Oryctolagus cuniculus: one gene and its partner. Each later gene encodes a partner of the first gene's protein in a complex. Links are inferred from orthologs where the notes say so. Each region holds a gene or a part of one and is shown in the gene's direction. Other genes may lie near its edges.

Evidence for each region.
Region 2: the proteins of UBE2D2 (region 1) and RNF25 are in contact, whole or in part, in a crystal structure (PDB 5D1K), measured with the Homo sapiens proteins. The link is inferred for Oryctolagus cuniculus from reciprocal best matches to the Homo sapiens genes UBE2D2 and RNF25. Residues at the interface, in NP_003330.1 of Homo sapiens: Leu3, Lys4, Arg5, His7, Lys8, Glu9, Leu10, Asn11, Asp12, Arg15, Ser22, Pro25, Gln34, Thr36, Val49, Phe51, Asp59, Pro61, Phe62, Lys63, Phe69, Thr70, Thr71, Arg72, Ser80, Asn81, Gly82, Gln92, Ser94, Pro95; in NP_071898.2 of Homo sapiens: Val136, Ile137, Cys138, Leu139, Tyr140, Cys161, Arg164, Tyr165, His168, Pro199, Val200, Arg202, Gln220, Met222, Glu223, Leu224, Tyr225, Gln226, Arg238, Leu241, Tyr242, Arg244, Gln245, Arg248, Gly249, Gly250, Ile251, Ile252, Leu254.

The regions. Positions count from the first base shown.
Region 1 is NC_091437.1:27,308,782-27,312,425, forward strand, and holds part of UBE2D2 (ubiquitin-conjugating enzyme E2 D2), read left to right. Parts: intron 1-2,032; coding exon 2,033-2,126; intron 2,127-3,586; coding exon 3,587-3,632; 3' UTR 3,633-3,644.
Region 2 is NC_091434.1:20,765,373-20,769,116, forward strand, and holds the start of RNF25 (E3 ubiquitin-protein ligase RNF25), read left to right. Parts: upstream 1-1,376; 5' UTR 1,377-1,549; coding exon 1,550-1,590; intron 1,591-3,744. Other genes in the region: STK36 (serine/threonine-protein kinase 36), read right to left, coding at 1-47, 618-701. UniProt on the Homo sapiens protein: E3 ubiquitin-protein ligase that plays a key role in the RNF14-RNF25 translation quality control pathway, a pathway that takes place when a ribosome has stalled during translation, and which promotes ubiquitination and degradation of translation factors on stalled ribosomes.

The DNA.
Region 1 (3,644 bases):
ATTTAGGGGCCAGCGCTGTGGCATAGCAAGTTAAAGCCCTGGCCTGTAATGCCAGCATCCCATATGGGCACCAGTTCAAGTCCCAGCTGTTCCACTACCAATCCAGTTCTCTGCTATGGTTTGTGAAAGCAGTAGGAGATGGCCCAGGTCCTTGGGCTCCTGCACCCGTGTGGGAGACCCAGAAGAAGCTCCTGGCTCCTGGCTCCTGGCTTCTGGCTTCATATCAGCCCAGCTCTGGCCATTGTGGCCATCTGGAGAATGAACCAGCAGATGGAAGACCTCTCTCTCTCTCTGCCTGCCTCTGCCTCTGCCTCTGCCTCTGCCTCTGCCTCTGCCTCTGCCTCTGCCTCTGCCTCTGCCTCTGCCTCTGCCTCTCTCCAACTCTGCCTTTCAAATAAATATTAAATAAATCTTTAAAAAAAAAGTTACAGAAAGGCTGAGGATGAGAGAGCGCGCGGGCAAGTGAGCTTCCATCCATTGGTCCACTCCCCCATCCCCACCCCCACCCCCTGCAAATGGCCTCAACCGCAGGAACTGGGCCAGTTGCAAGCCAGGAGCCTTGTGAGTACAGCGGCCCAAGGACTTGGCCATCCTCTGCTACTTTACCAAAGCCCATTAGCAGGGAGCTGTATTGGAAGAGGAGCAGCTGTGACTCAGAAAGGCACTCACGGAATGCAGGCACTACAGATGGCAGTGCTGGCTCCAGCACGGGCCTTTTTTGTTAAAATTTTTTTTTAATTTATTTATTTGAAAGAGTGACAGATCTTCCACCTGCTGGTTTACTCCCCAAATGCCCACAAAAGCCAGGGCTTGGCCAACTCCTTCAGGGTCTCCCACATAGGGGTGGCAGGGATCCAAGTACTTAGATCATCTGTTGCTGCCTTCCCAGGCATATTAGCAGGAATCTGTGTGGGAAGGGAGTAGCTGGGACTCAGACTGACACTGTGATATTTGATGGAGGCACCCCAAGTAGCGGCCTAATCTGCTGTATCACAGTGCCTGATCCAATGGCCTTTATGTTCTTGGCTTAGACTAAATTGTTTTCAACTGAAAACTAAGCAAATCTGTTGTATCTAAAAGTGCTACCTACCATACAGAAAACATTGTTGGATTTTGTGATTATCAGTTTTACCTAAGAGTATACAGTAGTGGGGCTAGATTTGTAATTTTGAAAGCCATTTTTCCCTGAACATGAGCTTCTAAAAATTGAGCTTTCAAAAGTGTTATTGGTTTAATATTTGGAAGACATTATAGTTACTAGTTAAGGACTTTGGACCAGTCACTTCTGTCTAGGCTGGCTTCCTTGGGAGTTTAGTCACACATTTCTTGTCTTTCTCTTTTCTAACTTCATAGAATATAAGACTTTGAACAAAGAGTCTTATATTCTTGTGTGAGTGACCAAGATGTCATTTATCATTTTTTTTTTTTTATTTATTTTTTTTTTTTTTGACAGGCAGAGTGGACAGTGAGAGAGAGAGACAGAGAGAAAGGTCTTCCTTTGCCGTTGGTTCACCCTCCAATGGCCGCCGCGGCCGGCGCGCTGCGGCCGGCGCACCGCGCTGATCCGATGGCAGGAGCCAGGAGCCAGGTGCTTTTCCTGGTCTCCCATGGGGTGCAGGGCCCAAGCACCTGGGCCATCCTCCACTGCACTCCCTGGCCACAGCAGAGGGCTGGCCTGGAAGAGGGGCAACCGGGACAGAATCCGGCGCCCCGACCGGGACTAGAACCCGGTGTGCCGGCGCCGCTAGGCGGAGGATTAGCCTAGTGAGCCGCGGCGCCGGCCTGTCATTTATCATTTACCATTAATTTTGTTCTTTTTGTTTTCATTTTTATTTTTAGGTGACAACTTGAAATCTGTATAAGATTTTAAATTCTTTGTTGACCACTGTTATACAAGCAAGGCAGAATTTATATAGCTGCTAGGCACTAAAGTATAGTAGGTTTTCAGAATTTTCTCAGGTGATGACTTCTCATGTTTCTCTCCACCCTTTGCTTTTATCCTCTACTAATGAATACATTTGTTTCATTCTAGTCCTCTTGTCCATCTGTTCTCTGTTGTGTGATCCCAATCCAGATGATCCTTTAGTGCCTGAGATTGCTCGGATCTACAAAACAGATAGAGAAAAGTAAGTATGGCCTCTAGACAGAAAGTGTACAAAGTGGGATTGAGATGTTTGTCTCAAATCTTTCTTACAAGATTCTTAAAATGAAGTCCTAATAAACTTCCCCACGGACAGGAAAAAGGAATATTTGCACAAGTATCTTTATCAGTGGATGATACTGTTTTTAATCTTGCTTTCATAAGGCTCCTACTATCTAGAAAAACTTTTTTACAGTGTATTCTCCAACAGCTTTATGTTGTATGTTTGGCTTTGGATACATGAAACATTTTGTGTCAAGTGCCCATTTTCTTATGTAGGTATTTGTAAATTAATGGGAAAAGGGAATTGATTTTCTACCATTTGGCATAATCTAAAGGAAAAAAGTAAGTAAATGCCATTAGACATGAAAGCCCACATTTCTTTTAAAAATAAAATGTGACAAACAATTTAGATGTTTTAGAGTCAGACTGAATTATTGAAGAGTGGTCTGGATATCAAAAGAGAGTAACTAAAAGTGTTCTAACCATTTTTGTTATGTATTATTCAGTGAGATTATAAGAAAAACTAGATGGGAGAGGCTGGTAGTTTTTTCTTTTCTTTTTTTTTTTTTTTTAGTTAAAAGAATAGAGAAGTACTTAAATTCTATTGGCTTAGAGAGAGACACCAGTAGGATTTTTCTTTAATGAAGCTACACTTGCAAACGGGGAACTCTAATAGCTATGGGTTCTTAGTTTTTGTTTGTTTTTCTGTATTATCTATTATCCTAATTTTTTCTCTGCCATGTGCTTATTTGGAATAAAATTGTATTATACTTTTTTCTATTTGTGGATTTATTCACAAATGTTTTTTGATTGGAGAACTGTAGTCCAGTGTCTAGAGCTGGGGACTTGAATGGCATTTCCTAATTAATTGTAATAATGTTCCGTAGAACTTTCCTGCATCTCTAAAAAGAGAGGAATTACGGAATGTTTTTCTTCATGTATTTTTCTACTCAAATGTTCTTCTGGAGCAAAATGCCTATTCATTTTGTCAAGCACAAATTGTTGAAATTAAGTTCTGCCAGAACCAGTGTTTTATTGATATAAAGCGAAGTATTACGTCCGTTGGCACATTATTAGTATATGATTTCAAGAACCATATAGTGTAGAATTACATATTTTCAAGAATCTCAAATAATCGAATCAAGAGTTGAACCTATTTCTTAGAAATACATCGATCAAATATATAATATGGTGTATGCCAGCAAATGCTAAAATTAATCAGAATCCTGTAAGTGGCATTTACAGCAAATTGTTTGCATTTTTTAGCTGTGTCCTATATTATTGAATAAGTGCTTATTAAAAATTTGGGATGTAAAAGTGGCTTTGCCTGAGTATTTTGTGGGTTATTCCCCTCACAATACTAGATAAGATAATGAATGAAACCTGTTGTGAACTAATTGACATCTCACTGTTGTTAAGCTAAGCTTCTCTTTGTGTGTACAGGTACAACAGAATAGCTCGGGAATGGACTCAGAAGTATGCGATGTAATTAACGAAATTA
Region 2 (3,744 bases), on another chromosome or scaffold:
TCCTTCTCTGAGCGCCCCAGTTTGGGGATGAACTTCAGGGCCACCACCTGTGAGTGGTAAAGTGACAAGTCAGGGCCTCCCCACGCCACTGAACAGAGCTACAATCTCAGCCTAACTTCAGAACTCCAGAACTCAGACTGCAGATCGTCTGAGTAACTCCATGACACCTGTTAGTCTCCTACCTCCACCTCCCCCACGGATGGCACCCTGGCCTTACCCAGGAGTCCCCCATCCTGGCCCAGGAGGATATATCCTCTGCTCAACAGATGCTTTGGTGGATTCTGGGAGAGGTGTTCCGAGTGCACCGAGTAAACAAATAAATACTATTTTTCGTCTTAATCATACTATGCAGGAAGGGAGAAACCACCTGCACTCTCTTCTTTCCTCTTCATTTTTCTTTCCTCCTTTCCCCCTCTATCTCATCTAAGTCTAGAAAGTAGTGGAGCTGGGATCTGAACCCCAGCAATCCACCTGCAGGGCTCATGCTCCCTAAGATGTAGGAAGGAGAGAGTCCCTTAAGAATACAGGTCGGTATAAATGCATGCCGCTGGCTCTGTTTTCCACTAGAGTTTGGGGTGCCGAATCCCACCCAAAAGACAGCCCTCTTCGTCCACCACCTGAGCACTGTATTTTTTTCGACCCTTGTACACTCTCCCAAAAGAGCCTTCTCCAATCATCTCCAACACGTGGTACTTTTCCATGACAGTGGCTGCAGAGTTTCTCAGAAGGAAGAAGTTAGAGGCGGTGGTTTCGAGCTACGGATCCAGGGACAGTTCGACACATCGGGGAGGCCTGGTTCGGGCAGGGGAGAAGAGGCAACATTAGCCGCCTTGCCTTTTCGCTTTCTCATAATAAAACAGGTCTTAGAAGCACAGGAAGGCAGAGCGGACCAAAAGACCACGAGCTCCTGGCACAACCGGAGCGTCTCCCTGGAGTTCCTTTTCTTCAGCGCCCTGCCGCCCACCCAACATCCCCTCTGCTTCTCACGCCCCCCAGCCTAGCCCACGCGACCCCGCCCCCCTCAAACCAGCCTCGCCCATCGACCCCGCCTTCCAGACTACCCCTGGTTCCCGCCACTCCCAACTTCCTCTGCACCCGCGCCCAGACCCTCGTCCACGCGCTTCGCTGGCGGGGGCCCGCCTCTCACCCCCAGCCGAGGAGCTCGAAGCTCCTCTGGCCGAGGGACGCCGGCGCTGGCCTTCAGCCCCGTCCCGTCTGGCTGCCTGCGTGCTGCGCCTGGCGGAGTTTGCCTCCACTCGCTCCCTAGTCCTGGTCTCTTTAGGCTTCCGTTCTCACCAATTTTACGCGCTAGAACCGGTCACAAGTTCCGAGGACAACGGCGCTCAGAGGTGGTGGGAGGGATGGTGGGCCGTCCATAGGCACCTCCTGGGACACTTCCGAACTGTCTCTCGGCCATCAGGTCCCACTAAGGACCCGGAGTCCGCGGTTGCCTAGAAACGGCCCCGGCTGGCGTCCCCCCGCCCCCGTGGTTTTCCGCCTCCGACTTCCCCAAGGGCACTTCCGGTTCCGGCCGCGGGCCGGAGGCGACATGGCGGCGTCAGCGTCGGCAGCTGCAGGGGAGGAGGACTGGTAACTTCGGGGGCATGGGCTTCGGTTGTCGGCCTGGCTCTGGCCGGGGGCACTCGGGGCGGCCGCAGACCCTCCGTGCGGCGGGCGTGTGGGGGTGGAGCAAGCGAGGAGGGTCGGCGGAGACGCTGACATCTCCTCCTAGGGTTGCTTCTGGACTTGGGCGCGGGAGGTGGAAGGGGCGCCGGTCTGCGAGGAGACAGCGCCGGCCCGGCCAGTTCGGGACGCACGTTCTCCGGTTGGATCCCCTCTGCTATGGCCTCACCCCATCCCGTCCTGTCCTCTGGAAGTGAATGTGCTCAGGGGCCCCGGCGATGCCTGCTCATCAGACCTCCCCACCTCGCCCACCCGGTGCCCTCCACCTTCTGGCCCCCTTGCCCCTTGGATCAGCCTCACTACCGCCCGCGCCTTCCTCAGCCTCCTCTCTCCCCAGCCGATCTAACGAGGGCTGTCCTGTGCGTGAAGCTTCACAACACAGAGAAAGCCCTCCTAGTTCTCTCGAGCATTCTTAACGAGAAGCCGGAACCTCCAAGGACTCTGGGACTTGGAAACAGGATAACGATGTGGGTTCACTCCACATATTAGCTGTGTGGTGCTAACCAGGCCATTTAGCCTCTGTGAGTCAGTGTCCTCAGCTGTTAAAAAAACAAAAAAAGTGGGTGTGGCAGCTGCATCATAGAATGGTTGAGATGATCAGGATGCATTTGTAATATACATAGCCATCTTTGCTTTAATAACTTTTTTAAAAAAGATTGATTTATTTGGAAGGCAGAGTTAGAGAGGCAGATTTTCCATCCACGGGTTTACTCCCCAAATGGCCACAACTGCCAGGGCTGGGCCGATATGAAGCCAGGAGCCCATAGCCTCTTCCGGATCTCCCACGTGGGTGCAGGGGCCCAAGGACTTGGACCATCTTCTGCTGCTCTCCCAGGCGCATTAGCAGGGAACTGGATCAGAAGTGGAGCCGCCGGGACTTGCAGTGGCTTTACCTACTATGCCACAGCGCTGACCCCATATCTCTTGAGATCTGGGCACCTGCAGAAACTAGATGAGCCCAGAAGTGAAGTGATTTGCCAGAAGATACAAAGCTGTGACTGGGAATCCGGGTCTGACTCCAGATCTTCTCATCTTCCCATTTTTTTTCTGTCATCACCTTACCACCATCCCAGCCAGTACCTCCATCCAGGACCCAAGTCGTAGCTTGGTAGGCAGAGTATTGAAGGGCCAGTCTTGACTGAGGCTGCACCTCACTGTACCCTGGTTCAGGGAGCCCAGCCAGTGCTGACCACCTAGATGAGTGGTTTTCAAACTGTTCGGGGGAGCTTGTAGAGACACCTTGAGCCATGGAGAGAGCCGCAGTGACTGTAGCCGATAGCCTGTTGTGGTCTGAGTCCTCCCCAGTCCTGTGTGAGCAACCACTCATTTGTTATCTGTGAGGTGTACAGCTTTGTGTTGTGAAGTTTCTGCCTAAAGCTTTTTATTAAAAAAAAAAAGAACCACTGATAACAACTCCTGCTAGAGGTGCTCCTGGTGGAGAGGGAGCAGCACAGGGAACTGAAGCACGCCTGCTTCTGTGTACGGTCAGCCTCCATGTCCGCAGGTTCCCCATCCACGGATTGAAGCAGCTGCACGCCGGAAGTATTGGGTGGGCTGGAGCGGGACCCTGTACTGACATGTATAAACTTTCTTGTCATTGTTCCCTAAGCAGTACAGTACAACAGTTCGCATATTACTTACATTGTCTTACAGTCTTATAAGTAGGCTAGAGATGATTTAAAGTATGTGGGAGGAGGTTCATAGGATGTATGCAAATACTGTGTCAATTTATACAAGGACTGGAGCATCTGCATTTGGTATCTGTAGAGGGTCATGGAACCAGTCTCCCACAGATACCAAGAGATGCTTATCACCCAGGTACTACTGTGGATAGCAACTAAACATTCGTCGCCAGTGTCATGACAACAGCTGCTTCTGTGTTTAAAACTGTGTGTCCTGTAATTTACACCAGGACCATGGGTCCTCACCTGGACAGGCTGATCTAGATCAACCAGCCAGCCAGGATCATAATTAGATCCGGAGTACTCTGCTAACCACATCCTTCCCTCTTTGCTGTTAAAGGGAAGATTAATGCAAGCAGGGAAAAAGAGAACATAGACT